Linked DNA regions of Danio rerio. The protein of the gene in region 1 interacts with the protein of each later gene in a pairwise test. Links are inferred from orthologs where the notes say so. Each region holds a gene or a part of one and is shown in the gene's direction. Other genes may lie near its edges.

Region 1 (3,286 bases):
AGTGATTCCTCTGTACGGCCGCGGCAGCAGCAGTCAGGAGGACCCCAGGTACAACACACACACACATCACACACACGCTATACACACTGTACACACATTTTTAATGCATTCCTGTTCACCCACATATGCTACATCCTAATAACTAGAAAACATCCAGTCATATTTCACTGTAATAATCATAAGATCAACCTTTTATATTAGATTGCAAAATGACATAATTAGTATTTATTTATTTATTTAATATTCGTTGTTTTCACATGTGTGTTTGTCATAAAACCGCATGTTTGATGTTAATGCAACAGATGCAGTAAAATACGGTGTGTTCATTTGAATATGATGTTAAACATCTTTTCTGTCTGTCTGTCTGTGTGTGTCTGTCTGTCTGTCTGTCTGTCTGTGTGTGTGTGTGTGTGTGTGTGTGTGTGTTGCAGATTGAAAACGCCCCCTCGACCTCAAGGTCAAAGGTCAGAGCCGGAGAGCAGAGGAGTGAGTGTGATCTCGTTACTCTCTCATTAATGTCAGTGTGATGATTATAACTGTATTAATATTCTCCTGATGTGTGTGTGTGCAGCCGTTTCAGGGTTTTGGAGACACAGGCTTTCACATGTCTTTCGGGATCGGTGCTTTTCCTTTTGGTTTTTTCACCACAGTCTTTAACACCAACAACCCTTTCCACAGAGCAGGTCAGAGCTCGTCTTCATGTTAATGTCCACTATCAAGCTTTACAGTCTGATCTAAAATAATAAAGTATAAGATCATCATTAATGTTTGGCCACAATGCTTTTTGGAGTTCCTTAAATTCTCTCTGTAAAAACTAAAAATAAAAAAAAATAAAAAAGACAAATACACATTACAAATGTAAATAAAACTGAAATAGCATATAAATAATGCTACAGTAACCCATAATAATAAAGGTTTGGTCACAGTATTTTCTGAAATAAGATGTGATGAAAGATATTTATTTATTTATTTATTTGTTTATTTATTTATTTATTTATTTGGCCACAATATTTTCAGAATTCCTTAAATTCTCTCTGTAAAAAAAAACTAAAAATATACTCATCATAAATAAAAATAAAAACTGCTACGGCATGTAAATAATTCTAAATTAATCAAACAAAAATAAAATTATAATATTAAAATAAAATTATAAGAATGAAAGTTTGGATTCCTAAAATTCTCTCTGTAAAAATGAATAAATAAAAAACGCAATAGCGTGTAATTAATGCCAAATTAACCAAAATATATATATATATAATTTAAAATAAAATAATAAATAAAATTATAATAATAAAATAAATTATTATAATATAAGTTTGGATTCCTAAAATCCTCTCGGTAAAAAGGAATAATAATGCTAAATTAACAAAAATAAATAATAAATAAAATTATAATGATAAAAATAATAAAAGCATGGATTCCTAAAAGAATAATAAATTAAAAAAAAAGTAATGAAAATAAATATAATTAATAAAATAATAATAATATAAGTTTGGATTCCTAAAATCCTCTCTGTAAAATCAAACAATAATGCTAGATTAAAATAATTTGAAAAAATTATAAACAAACTTCTAATAATAAAGTAAAAAAAATTATAATGATAAAAGTTTGGTTTGATAAAATCCTCTCTAAAAATGAATAATAATGCTAAATTAACAAAAATAAAATAAAATAATAAATAAGATTATAATAATACAAATATTAAACTTAAAATTAAACTTTAGATTCCTAAAATCCTCTCAGTTAAAATGAGGAATGCTAAATTAAGAAAAAGTAAATGTAATTAATAAAATAATAATGATTAAAAATAATAAAATCCTCTCTGTAAAATTGAATTTTACTGCTAAACTAGCATAAATTAAATTAAAGAAATTAAAATAATGATAGTTTGGATTCCTAAAATCCGCTTAGTAAAAGCTCTTCTCTCTAATAACGTAAATATTAAAGTAAATAAAATAACTAAGTTAAAAACCAATTGACTTCATCTAACATTCTAATTAATGTGTGTTAGAAAAGCATGCAAATGATCTGATGTTTCATTGAATAACCTCTCATTTACATATGAATTATTTTTCATCTTGATTCAGACGCTCATTACGGAGCAGATCAGCAAGCCAACGAAAACGCAAACAACGGCAACAACTGGCAGGACTCGCTCTTCCTCTTCCTCGCCATCTTCTTCTTCTTCTGGATCCTGAGCGTCTGAACGAACACACGTATCACTCACACACACACACACACACACACACACACACATGCACAGTATTAGCGTGAATAGATCAAACACTACACCAGCTGAAGAATCTCAGCAAAACATGCAGAGTTTCAGCTGTAACCCCGCGAGAAGGCTTCATTTCTACTATAATGATCATTAAACACGCTCATCTCCTCATTCTCTTCACTCTAATCAGACTTCAGTTCACTTTCACTGGAGTAGATCACGCTTTATTTGCATTTTGGGTTGTTTCTAATCGTTTGTTGCTTTATTGAGGATTTTTGTAAAACATTAACCAGTTCATATAAATATTTTGTCATAAAATTAATGCGAGAAATGTTAATAGTTTAATACTTTTAGATCAAATATGTAAGTTTATTTTTTCATTTTGAAATTATTTTTCATGATATACTCTAAATTATTCTCCTTGTTTTTGTTCTATTATTAATATTGTTATTATTATGAAAGGATTTTTATGATATCACCCACATTATAATTATGAATTCTTCTTCTTTTTATTATTATTATTATTATTATTATTATGTAAAAACAGTTATGATACCCCCTAAATTATAATAATTTTTCTTCTTTTATTATTAATATTATTATTATGTAAAATTTAGCATATCATCTTTACTACTACTACTATATTATTATTATTATTATTAAATCATTATTATGATATCCTTTATATTGTATAAAATTTTCTTCTTTTATAATTATAATAATAATTATAATAATAATAAAAGAAGAAAAATTATTATAATAATATTGTATAAAATGTTTATAATTATTATAAATGATTTTTATAAATATTATAAATTATTATAAATAATAATAATAATAAAAGAAGAAAAATTATTATAATAATATTGTATAAAATTTTTATAATTATTATAAATGATTTTTTTAATAAATATTATAAATTATTATAAATAATAATAGAAGAAGAAAAATTATTATAATTTACGGGATATTGTGTTTTTTTCTGCATTATACTAATTACAATAGTAATGTAAAAAAAGATGATATTATGCCCTAAACTCTTCTTCTTCTTGCTATTATTATAAT
Region 2 (3,193 bases), on another chromosome or scaffold:
CAAGGTATCCTAGGTGTGCGTGACGTTCTTATTTCAGTCGAATCCAATAGAAGTTGTGTTAAAATGATGTTGGTCTGCTCCAGCTCTACATCAGCAGCACTCTAAGCAATTTAAAAGAAGTCTAATAAAGTGCATCTATCCATAATAAAACATGCTCTACTTTAAGGGAATCCCTGCATTTCTGTATAGAAAAATCTCCAAATGTAAAGCTTTATAAACATTCTGATGTAACCTCAGGCATTTGTCATCATTGCTGCGTCCCGATCCACACACTATCCGTCCTAAATAGCATTTGAAAATAGAATTAGTATGTCCCAAACCATAGTGTTCAAAAGAGAATGCCAGAGGTTCCTGGATGGTTTGCTATTTCTGGTAAAAAAGTTAAGTATAGAAGCGTACTCTAATGGCTGATATTGCCCACAATACATTGCACACGAATTCGATTAGAACTACAAACGCATGTGAAAAAATGTAAACAAACTACAAACATTATGGACGCGCGAGACCAACCATCAAGTAGAGAGAGGCTTCGGTAAAGATGTTTGAATGACTTAGTCAATATCTAGTCCACTGGAACATATTGAAATCACATTATCTGTGTTATATTTCATCTGCAACAACAATACTGAACGTATATAAAGGTGAGTTTGAACGTCTGAATGCATAATTATCCAAAGCCCTGATGAGATTTCTGCATGAAAGGCTCGTGAATGGGAGATTAACCTGCTGCTGCTCCTTTAATAAGGTGGGAAATTAAATACGACAGAAATGCGGATGGTGTGTGGATGATTGATAGGGCTCATAACCAAGCAACACAACGATCTGTTACAAGGTAGTAGTATGTCCAAAAGCTCTCATACTCGTCTGTTGCACACTCGAAAGTATAAACTTTTCCTTCACAAAAAAAGTACATACTTTTAGGGCGTAGTATAAGTATGTGAATTGGGCCGCAGCACTTCTTTTGAGTTGCATTTCTTTGGTGCATTAGTGCCCCCTGCTGGAGAGGATAAATAAAACACACGTCTGTCCAGCTGAGGGCGCTCATGCTCCATAAATACACTAAGGAGAAAAGACTGCGGGTGGTATTATTGGATGCACTGTACTGGACTTTTGGATTCATGCACATGCAAACTCACACACTCCTTGACACACACTTAACTTACACACACAGACACACACTAAAACTTACATACATGTGCACACACACACACACACACGCACGCACACACACACACACACTTGTGCAGTATTTATGGTCTCCTCATAGCTGTAATGATGTTTCTACTGTACAGACTGTATGTTTCCTCCTCACCCCCAACACTACTCCTAAACGCAAGCCTCTCACACACACACACACACACACACACACACACACACACATCAGCGAGTGTTTAATGTGTGTTTGCGCAGATACACGTCTCCTGATTTCCTCTACATTCGCTCCTGGCTGCCGTGTATCTTCTTCGCAGGAGTCATCACTGTGGGCAATATAGGACGACAGCTGGCTCTGGTAAACTATCACACACACACACACACACACACACACACACACATACACATATTGGTGTTAGTGGTTTACAAGGACTATAGGAGATATTCATTAATTTTCTGCCACAGCAGAATGAACCGGCAACTTATGCAGCATATGTTTCAGGCAGCGGATGCCCTTCCAGCTGCAATCCGTCACTGGGAAACACCCATACACACTCACTCACACATACACTACGGCTAGTTTAGTTTCTCAATTTCCCTAAGCAATGATTTTGATGCATTGTCAGGTTATTTTGCTTGATATTTTTTACTTGTCCAAAAATGCTTCTCGACTTAAAAATGTTGAGATACTTTCAAACTAAGAAACTCATTTTTTGTGGTGCACCTGTTCTAACATGAGCCGTTTCTCCGTGTGCTGCCTCTGAAACGGTGTTTCTCCCTGCAGTACGAGTACAAAGTGAGTCAGGAAAAGAGCCACCAGGACTGACGGAGGATCCTCTGGAGGGTTCTGTGTTTGAGGATGGACAGTGTTTATAAAGCTTCTCCTGCCTCCTCTGACCGTAATCATCATCATCATCATCTTCATCACACTCACTGAAACACTACTGACCACAGCAAAAGTGCCAAACAGACTCTCACGGCCGAGAGCGAAGCCTGTTCATCCGCACACATCACAGTCATCTCCACTCATACGGGCGGAGGAGACGCATCTGGAGGAAAACACAGACACTGCTGGATCTCATTCATCAGGGAATGTTCAAGTGTGTGTGTGTGTGTGTGTGTGTGTGTGTGTGTGTGTGTGTTCACCCAAAAAATCAAAATACCTTTGTTAATTAATCATCCAAGTGTCATTTCAATCGCCTGAGAGCTTCGTTCATCTTCAGGACACACATGAGGATATTTTAGATGAAATCTGCTTATATATATATTGAGTTCTTGGAACTAGAATTGCCATAAATATATAAAATGATGCTGATGTGTCGGTGCCGATAGCCCACATATAGCAGCATGGTGCTCACGGCGACCCGAGTTCAATTCCCGGCTCGAGGTCCTTAGCCAGCCCTACTAATAGTATCTGCATGCAGCCTTTATGATGCAAGCTGAGATTGCATCACTCTGCGATGCAATGTCAGACACAATGCACTCAAGTGGAGCAAGTGACATCACTGTTAGGGGTGGGGTTAGGGGTGGGGTTAGGTGAGCTCATTAAAAAGCATTGGATGCAGCTCAGATTGCACTGCACCAGGTCTGCAGCCAGACTCCTCTCAGCCCTACCCCTCTCTCTGCTCCCAATACATTCCTGTCTGCAACCTCTACTGTCTTTTCCAAATAAAGGTGAGAAACCCCTAAAATAAGATGCTGATATGACATAAATAAATGGATAAATTAAAATATTTCTATATTTGGACTAGAAAAAGGAGAAGAGGAGAAGAAACTGAGTGTTATTTTTGTTTCATGAGCACACTCAAGTATCAGTATGGCTTGATGAAACTCAGATTGAACCACTGTAGACACGTGCTCTGTTCTGAGGATGTTTTTGGTCTGTTCTCTTGCTGTTTATGGAGGACGAGAGCTCCAGGATTTCATCTAAAATAGCTTTGTTTGTGTCTGAAGATGAACGGAGCGACTGAAACAGCATGAGGGAATTAATGACGGTGTTTTAATTTAGTGTGAACTGACCCTTTAACGCATGGAGTATTAT
Region 3 (4,640 bases), on another chromosome or scaffold:
CTGTGGCTTTAATATAGAAGGGCAGTTTCAGTCTTAATCTCACCCATTGACAAGATAACACAAATATAAATGCAAAGTACACAACTGTTAAAGATAATATAAAGGTCATCGATAGAGAAAATAACATCAAGTAAAAATCTGCAGTCAATTGGCATCTGAATTGATAGATGTATGAATAATGTGATGGCCAAATGTGGTCACACATACTTTGAAGTTGAATTACATTTTACCCATTCAAGGGAATACATAATCACCACAATGAGAAGTGAACACAAACACACACAGATACGAGATACAAACAACTGTCACACAAAGCTCCAAGAAGACTTTTGTGTACCAAACATCTGTCAGATTATGCCGCATGTTAAAACATTAACATGAAATGAAAAACATTTGTATGTTGATTGGGTTTCTGACTTTAAAGGCTGTAAATGTGTTGTGTTAGATGTCATGTAAAATATATTTTTTTTTTTCATTGTTTAGGTTTTTTTTCACATTTTTATTGGATAGTGGAAGTTGAGACAGGAATGTGTGGGGAGCAATCAGCAAAGAACATCAAGCTTAGACTGATTTAGGTCACCCCAAGCTCTTACTAGCTACTGACACTGAGCATATAAAATATCTCAATTTGTATTCCGAAGTTGAAGGTCCCAGGGAGTTGTAACAACACAAGGATGTTAAAGGTTAGTTCTACCAAAAATTCTGTTAGTAATTACTTATAACAGATTTTTTGGTAGAACTAACCCTTAAGGGCACCTCAGTCTCGGGTACTGAAAGTGGAAGAGAGCTCTGTTCATTCCCTGCCACACTGACAACTGGTATGCAACTTTTCAAGCATGGTTGATTTAACTTAATTTCAAATTGTTTATCAAATGAAAGGTGAAAAACGAAAAAAAGTTCTTATTAATAGATTTATATATATATATATATATATATATATATATATATATATATATATATATATATATATATATATATATATACACACACACACACACACACACACACACACACACACACACACACACACACACACATATATATATATATAGCATACAACACACCAAACAATTGTATTATTTTTAAACACTGTATTATTCACCATAGTGTAAACTTTTTATTTGTTAATTTTAATATATATGCTTTTTGCTGGCTGTATGTGGGCGGAGTAATACACAAAAGGTAAAGAGGCTGTACTGGTGCTGATATTACTTAAATATATCACGGCTATCAGCCAATCAGATTCGAGGACCTGACAGAACTGTTGTATATATATAAAAATAACTCAGATTTAGCATGGTATTATAATGGTGGTGAATACATATTGTATGCTACAAACGATTTATCTTCATGTTCCTGTTAGAATAATCAAAAAGGACCCATGTGATTTAATACTTGGTTTAAATAGTGTAGGCCTAAATTGTTTGCAAATTCAGTGAAAGGGGTGATGATGGACCGTATGCTCTGAACGCATCACGTGGGAGTAAAACAGATGCATCCGAGCTTTAGCAGCACGACATCATGTGACAGCACCACATCATATGGGAGTGAAACTAGATGTGAACGCATTCTGGATCTGTCAAGACTGAGCTCTGCTTTTCTGCTGCATAACACATCCACCTGATTCAACAAAGAAGGACAAACGCAGTGCTGTAGTGCAGTGTTTTAGTGTTCCAGGCTCTTATTTTGTTTACCGGTGCTTTTCTGGTGCTTTCCGTACTGTTTTAGGAGAGAGAGAGGGAGGGAGAGAGAGAGGGCGAAGGAGCGCAAGAGGGGTGTGAAAGTGAAGCTCTATCATTCTTTGCGGACTGGAGGCTCAAAAACAGCGGAAGAGAGAAGGAGAGAGAGAGAAAGAGTGAGAGAGAGAGGAATCAATCAGCCATGGCAAATATCGCTGTGCAGAGGATCAAGCGAGAGTTTAAAGAAGTGCTGAAAAGCGAAGAGGTTTGCAAAACGCTACTTTACTATATTTTCCTGCCCGTTAAGAACAAACAGAAGGACTTTTGGCGATGAACACACAAAACCCAATGAGCTAGCCTAGCATGCTAAGCTAATGTTAGCATGAGCTGTCATATGATGGACTTAAGATACGGAAGTCACACTTCTGACAAATTTGCTTCTCTCGATGTAATAAAACGAAAACATAGACCTAAATGTTTAATTCATTCATGAACATGTCAGAGTATTGTTAAATTTGTGCTGGCACACATCGAGCTTAAGCCATGGAGCTATTTGACATAGTTAGCCGGCTAGCTTCACCAACACTTCTATAGTCTGCAATAACAGCACTCGCACTCAGTGTTTTAAGGTTGGTTTTCTGTTTTGAAATGCCCATTAGTGGTTTACTGATCGTGTTCCTACGTTTTTGTGTGTGTTGGTGTCAGTTAACAGGGCAGCTAGGATGTTCTTTTTTTAAGTAATGCAGCACCTTTGACAGACAGCATTTTTGGGAATCATAGACTCATATCATACTGTCTTTTAAGGGTGCTTATTATGTTCAGAAGACAGCTTCATAACTTGACTATACCGGTTGTTTCTTTGTTCAAGCAACTATGGTACTCCTTACTAAATACATTTTTGTTTTGCTTTTTAACAGACGAGTAAAAATCAAATAAAAGTAGATCTGGTGGATGAAAACTTCACAGAGTTAAAGGGAGAAATAGCAGGACCGCCAGACACACCATATGAAGGTAATGAGAGCCTTTACATGATGTTTCTTTAATGTTTGCTTGGAGATTAATGCTGGAGATAAGATTATAACAGGCTAACGTTTTTTTTTCTCACAGGGGGAAGATATCAACTAGAAATCAAGATCCCTGAGACGTATCCATTTAATCCACCCAAGGTAATTCAACAAGTATTCTTTCTGCTGTTTTTACATATAATATTGCCAAAATATTTTACATAGACATACTATTAAGAAAAAGGAATGTTATTAATATAAAAATAAGTAGATAATAGTGTAACATGGAATTAAAATAACACGATGAATGAATGAAAGGGGATACAAATGTTATTTATCCAAAATAAATATAAAAATATATTTTTTTATTTTGCGATATATATATATATATATATATATATATATATATATATATATATATTGCAATATGAATACAATTTTATCAATGACTTAATAACTCAATTTTTAATCTTAGATCAACTGGAATGACTCTGCAGTGGGAGTGCATCTCTATAAAATCTAAAATTAATAAATAAATAAACAATTGTTGTGATCTTTGCTATTTGCAGTGCATTTCTGTATTTGCATATGTTGTGAGTATTTTCATACATGACAATCTGTAAATGCAGTCAAGACAAAGATGTTATTCAAATAAAGGGGTTTGTTGTTTCCCAGGTCTAACAGTATTTAAGTACAGTAACTGAATGATAAAAATAAAAACCATTCAATAAGGTCACAAATAGTTCAAGTTCTTATACCCAAATGCTTTTAAAAACATTAAACAATCACAGGCGTCAAAAACATATGCACATGATGAACTATAATACAAACTCATCATTGCCTATCATGCGATGTGACTATTGCAAATGATCACATTGCGAAATCGATGCTAAAGCGATATATTGTGCAGCCCTATTATGAAGTTAAAAGTTCCATAACATTTGCATCTGGATGATCTTTGTTTATATTCATTAAGGCAGTAGTGGGTTAGTAATGTTCAGTAATCGACTGTACTGCTGTAATTTAGTTGTCTGGATTTGATTAGCATGCAAAGCCTTTTAAAGACATCGGGTTAAAGAGTTTAAGTATTTCACTTAAGTTCAATATTGATTCACATTTAGAATTAAGAGAGAAAGCTAAAAGTAATACTTTGTGAACTAACCAAACTAGACATGAGAAGAAGGATCACATGAACAACTGTTAAAGTGTTCAAGTAAATCTCTCTTCTCTTTGTCTTTAAGTCTAGAGGGGTCATTGCTAGTTTGGAGGAAAAAAAATAAAATAAAAAAAAAAAAGATCCAGATTTTATATTATTGACATTGATTATTTTTTTCCTTTGCGCCAGGCTATGATTAGTCAGAGGATATCAGACATGTTTGAAATTTTAAACAGATTTTAGAACATATACATTATCATTTGTCTTCAAGTAATGATATGAATGTTTCGTCTGCTGTTTATTATGTTCCAAATAAAATGAAAGTTTATTAACGTGTAATTCTCAGTCGTTTGATCTGCAATGCCCCAACAATTGATTAATAAACCAGTAAGTAACAGTTAAAAAAAAAGTTGCAGCTGAACCTAATCTTGCACTTACTCTTGGTAACATTTAAATGCCTTCTTGTATTTGAATATAAATTGGCAATCACAAAGTACTTACACATTTCAATTTATTTCGATATGAAAGCAGATATCCAATGTGTGACTCCTGTTCTGTACATTTTTTTTAACTGCTGGGAAACCTTCTAGAAGATATTTAAATAGACAGAAATCTTTAGTCAAGGATGAGACACATTTTGAAGTCTGATTCAAATTACATGCAGTGTTTTTACATGCATAGAAAGCATATTAAAATGTTAGCTTTAATATTAATAATAATCTTTTAATAAATGTTGCAATAATGCCCCAAAGGGTGGCACGGTGGCTCTGTGGTTAGCACTGTCACCTCACAGCAAGAAGG
Region 4 (4,607 bases), on another chromosome or scaffold:
ACAGACAATTTAGCTTACCCAACTGACCTATAGCACATGTGTTTGGACTGGGGGAAACTGGAGCACCCAGAGGAAACCCACACGAACACGAAAACAGTGACTTGTCGCCCTCTTTATTTACTGTACAATTGAAATCAAAATTATTAGCCTTCCTTTCCTGTGAATTTTTTTCCCCAAAATATTTCCCAAATGATGTTTTAACAGATTCAGAATTTCCTATAATATTTTTTTCTTCTGGAGAAAGTCTGTTTTTTTTCAGCTAGAATAAAAGCAGTTTTTAATTTTTATTTTATTTTTATTTTTTTATTTGAACCATTTTAAGCTTAATTTAAGCTGAAAAAGCACTTTAACTGAATAATAGTATCTTGATAAATATATCTATTTACAATTATGTACTGCCCCATAAAATATAACTAATAAATAATTCTGCCTTCGACTGTAAATCAGACCAGTATCAAAGTATAACATGTTGATGTTATCTCTTAGATAATTGAAAAAAGCTTTTAAGAAACTATGTCTATTGAAAAGAATTTAAATTTAAGATGTATTTGTATTATTTTAGAAACAACAACAAGTCCATAAATATAGTAAAACCCCTTTTTCAAACCAACACATGATCATTATTGTATGCATTATAAGAATCAAAAACACATTGTGTACAAAATGGTGTCCAGAAACTAGATAATTTTATTTAAATGTAGGTTTTCTGTCCAAATATTATTTATAAGACATTTTTTCTTTAAAAATTATATCAGGAAAACTATTTACATTTAAGATGCACTTACTGTATAAAGAAATTAGTTTACAGTAACTCACTCCACAAAGCTGGAAAATTATCCTCAGCAGTACAGAGGATGCAATATGTATACCTTTATTATAACATTTTCATAAACAGTTTTAATATCTGAACTTACTTAATCTTCTTTCTTTCTTTCTTTCTTTCTTTCTTTCTTTCTTTCTTTCTTTCTTTCTTTCTTTCTTTCTTTCTTTCAGTTTACAAATAGTAACCAAAATAGGTAAATGCATGCACATTGAAAAATGGGTAGGTGTGACAATTTGTAATTAAACCATATTTAATAATTAAATTTAATAATTAAACCAGATTAAACGTTTCACACACAACTCTGATGCACTTACTATACTTTCCCCCCTTAAACAACAAATGTTTATTTTCCCTAGTTTTTGCCCATTCCTGTGTCTGAAGGTGATCTGTGCCTACTGTATGATTGGATAAAGATTTATTGGTTTTATTTATTGTAAATTTTTATTTTACAGAAAGATATCCATTTCAATCCAAAACAGTCAGCCATAAATGCAGTTTTACAATAAAAGGACAAATTTAGTGTTTGCAGTTTTGGTCCTCCATAAGAAGACATGGATTAATATTTACTTTTTATACAATGTTTTCCAACATCAATATTTCCATCTAACGCACTAAAATGTTGATTGCCAAAGAGTTTTAGAAAGAATGCAGTTTAATATATAATCTTTTGGTAAAATGAATAACGTTACTATTTAGAATCTACTACATTACCCATAAGCTCTAAATCTGTCATGTGACAATGTCACGTGACGTCCAGGTACGCAGTGTCAGCAGCTAATATAGAAACGCCGAACAAGAAGCAACAGCATCGCTGTCACATCTGCATCTCTGTTCTTCGCTCAAACGCAATCTTATGTAGACCTATGCTCTTCATCACGGTACGGAATCAGCCAAGCATGAACGCATGAGGTGGTTTACACCATCTGCTGCTTTACCACACCTCGCTTGTACCTGGAGAGTTTGTTAGCTAAACAAAACCGCTGTTGTTATGCGAGTCACGTGAGTTGTTTTATCTTATAACTTATTCCTTTCTGATTTGTTTTATTTTTGCTTAAAGCACTGAACGTAGAGCTTGATGCAAATTACTTTTAAGTGAAATAAGTCGTGACTAATGACCTAATTGGGTTGGCCTGATGTCTTGATTAACTCAGCGTGAGCATTGTCATAATCTGTATTAGTGTAGTCTTTCTCTTATGTCAGACAGCATAACTGCTATTCTCTTTACTTAAGAGATGTCATGAAGTAACTGATAATGAATAGGCTGCTAATTATCTTTTGGTCAGACTCAGACAGTGCTGTAATCTTTTTCTTGCTGACTGCACGTTTCGTTTCCTCATCGCATGCTTGAGATTTCTGCTTACTGATGATCAGCTGAGAAATACAATGATGTCCCGTGACTCTCAGACTTGTCCTAAAGTCCAAACCACACTGTCAGTCGAGGTTGCTGATCACCTGTTTTTGTCAATTCGTGAAAGCTGTTATGTGCCCTGGTGATTTTTCACTAATGTCCAGAAGACTTTTGATATGCTTTGATGACACTATGATTTGGTGTACTGGGTGAAACCGTGATTATCTTTGGTTATGATGTTTGTCATTTTATCATTCATCATTCATTCATTAAAGAATACACTAAATATCTTATAATGACCTTAAAGGTTTGGTTCACCCAAAGATGAAAATCTGTTATTAGTTTCTCTGTTATTAATTACTCAAGTTGTTCCAGTCCCTTGAGACTTCCTTTTATCTTCGGAACACAGATGATGTCTCACGAACATTGCTGTCTATGGAGGATGAACAAAGGACAAAACAAGATATCACAATGTTACTAAGTGTTGCTGAATTGGTCCGGTAAAACAGGAACTTTTTAGGTGGCAATTCAAGGATCAGAACACCTCACTTTAATGACTTTCAATGTTCTAGAATATTTGTCACACAGATTTAATAAAAACAAAAGCATACATGTTAAAACTGTTAAACTGATTAAAGTGAGTTGATCAGAATGAAAGCAAAGCAATTACCTATAATTGTATTAGTCAATGCATAAATTATTCATTAGTCTTTGTTTTCAATTATGTAAATTTGTGCCAGCTTTTGCTGTACTAACATTGGATTGAAAGATCAGAGAAAGCCAATCCCCAGTCCACAGATGCTCTTTCATAAGAGAAGTGGTCAGATGTGGACAAAATAAACCAATTAAACCCCAGGTGTGAACAGTAATGTCTCTCCTTTGTCCACTTGTGATTAGATTGACAAAAACACATCTTCATATTAGGCATGGGCCAATATAACATTCTGATGGTATGATAACCTTCACTGTAAACGATTTCTTGTTAAATCAACAGTAAGTTACTGGCAACAATTATCCAGTAGCTGCTGTATTTCATAAAACGGTAACATTACTGTAATACTAATTACATTAGTATTACATTTACTGTAAAATGTAATACATCATTTTACTGTTGTTGATTTTTACTGTAACACCAATTACAGTAGTGATACACATACTGCAAAACTGAAAACAGTATTTTATTGTACATTTTTACCATGAAGAACTACGGTATTTTAACGTTACTTTCATTATTACTGTATAGTATTTTAGTTATTAAATGTTATTTTATTTTTTTTAATAGTGCTACTTTATAATGGGTAAAAATGTTTAAAAATTGCACAAGTGTTATTTTAACTGTTCAAGAAATACAAGAAAAATAAAGAAACTGAAACTTTAACTTCACAATAAAGGTTTATTGTGTAAACCATGCTAAAACAGTAGCAATAATTCAATATAACAAAGCAACAGAACACTAATAAACAATTGATCATTAAAACCAGTCAACAATTAATGCATCAAAAATTATTACAATTTTAAAAACAGGTGAAAATACTGCTACAAGACAGGAAATGATGAAGGCCAAATGATGTGGAAAGGGACAGTGAAAAAGGGCAGCAGCACTTCTGATGATCCTGCAAAAATGACAGGCAAAATCAATCACTGAAGTAAAAACTAATCATCCCTCAAACCATTTAATTCATTCAGAAACGAAACACTGCACTGTTGTTTTATATATATATATATATATATATATATATATATATATATATATATATATAAATATATATAACAGTTATAAATATATATAACAGTTTTTTTTATTGTTTTTGTTGGTGAAATACAGTTTTTTGTCAATTCACAATTACACTAACGTTAATGGGGAAAAGATCAGCGGGCATTGTTCTTAAAGATTGCTATTCAGGTGTCCACACAGGTGTGTAAAAAATAAAGTCTCATCTTAACTTAATGTCCGACTCTGTATAGCTCGAATATCTGATTCCATGATCACACTACTAGTGCTTCCACGAATTTAAGAGGGGTGAACACAGTTTATTCTCACTTTAAGAGGCTACATATTTAAAATTAAATAAATAAAAATAATCTAATTTAACGTGACTAATGTTAATTAAATACTTTTAGGCTTTTAACACGTATAAATCCACTTCTAACTTACAGATAAGATTGCGTTAGAGAACATGAAAGCCGTGGGTGATTTTTTAAAATAATGCTAATGATGAGTTACTGATATTTGGTTTGCATAAAACAAAGTAATCACTAAGCATTTATTTTTGGCAAAATCTGCAGAGAGGCTTAGCGACACGAGGAAATGTGTTAAAGTTGAGTAGAGAACTAAAGAGCAGTCTAGCCTACTTCATGAAATGTTTGTGGTAATATTCTGCGGTCAATTCGTATTACTGTATTTTAATATGCAGCAGTGATGGCATGTCAGCGAGA

What was found.
Region 2: the proteins of rnf5 (region 1) and insig2 interact in binary tests that used the Homo sapiens proteins (3 or more experiments, as listed by UniProt). The two-hybrid records come from large-scale screens. The link is inferred for Danio rerio from reciprocal best matches to the Homo sapiens genes RNF5 and INSIG2.
Region 3: the proteins of rnf5 (region 1) and ube2kb interact in binary tests that used the Homo sapiens proteins (3 or more experiments, as listed by UniProt). The link is inferred for Danio rerio from reciprocal best matches to the Homo sapiens genes RNF5 and UBE2K.
Region 4: the proteins of rnf5 (region 1) and slc38a7 interact in binary tests that used the Homo sapiens proteins (3 or more experiments, as listed by UniProt). The two-hybrid records come from large-scale screens. The link is inferred for Danio rerio from reciprocal best matches to the Homo sapiens genes RNF5 and SLC38A7.

The regions. Positions count from the first base shown.
Region 1 is NC_133194.1:1,198,983-1,202,268, forward strand, and holds the end of rnf5 (E3 ubiquitin-protein ligase RNF5), read left to right. Parts: coding exon 1-48; intron 49-431; coding exon 432-486; intron 487-571; coding exon 572-683; intron 684-2,087; coding exon 2,088-2,206; 3' UTR 2,207-2,405; downstream 2,406-3,286. UniProt on the Homo sapiens protein: Membrane-bound E3 ubiquitin-protein ligase that mediates ubiquitination of target proteins. May function together with E2 ubiquitin-conjugating enzymes UBE2D1/UBCH5A and UBE2D2/UBC4.
Region 2 is NC_133184.1:734,784-737,976, forward strand, and holds the end of insig2 (insulin-induced gene 2 protein), read left to right. Parts: intron 1-1,410; coding exon 1,411-1,510; intron 1,511-1,936; coding exon 1,937-1,978; 3' UTR 1,979-2,252; downstream 2,253-3,193. UniProt on the Homo sapiens protein: Oxysterol-binding protein that mediates feedback control of cholesterol synthesis by controlling both endoplasmic reticulum to Golgi transport of SCAP and degradation of HMGCR.
Region 3 is NC_133176.1:24,896,164-24,900,803, forward strand, and holds the start of ube2kb (ubiquitin-conjugating enzyme E2Kb (UBC1 homolog, yeast)), read left to right. Parts: upstream 1-1,428; 5' UTR 1,429-1,881; coding exon 1,882-1,944; intron 1,945-2,596; coding exon 2,597-2,690; intron 2,691-2,786; coding exon 2,787-2,845; intron 2,846-4,640. UniProt on the Homo sapiens protein: Accepts ubiquitin from the E1 complex and catalyzes its covalent attachment to other proteins. In vitro, in the presence or in the absence of BRCA1-BARD1 E3 ubiquitin-protein ligase complex, catalyzes the synthesis of 'Lys-48'-linked polyubiquitin chains.
Region 4 is NC_133182.1:53,639,220-53,643,826, forward strand, and holds the start of slc38a7 (sodium-coupled neutral amino acid transporter 7), read left to right. Parts: upstream 1-1,630; 5' UTR 1,631-1,701; exon of another isoform or gene 1,702-1,822; intron 1,823-3,554; exon of another isoform or gene 3,555-3,784; intron 3,785-4,607. UniProt on the Homo sapiens protein: Symporter that selectively cotransports sodium ions and amino acids, such as L-glutamine and L-asparagine from the lysosome into the cytoplasm and may participates in mTORC1 activation. The transport activity requires an acidic lysosomal lumen.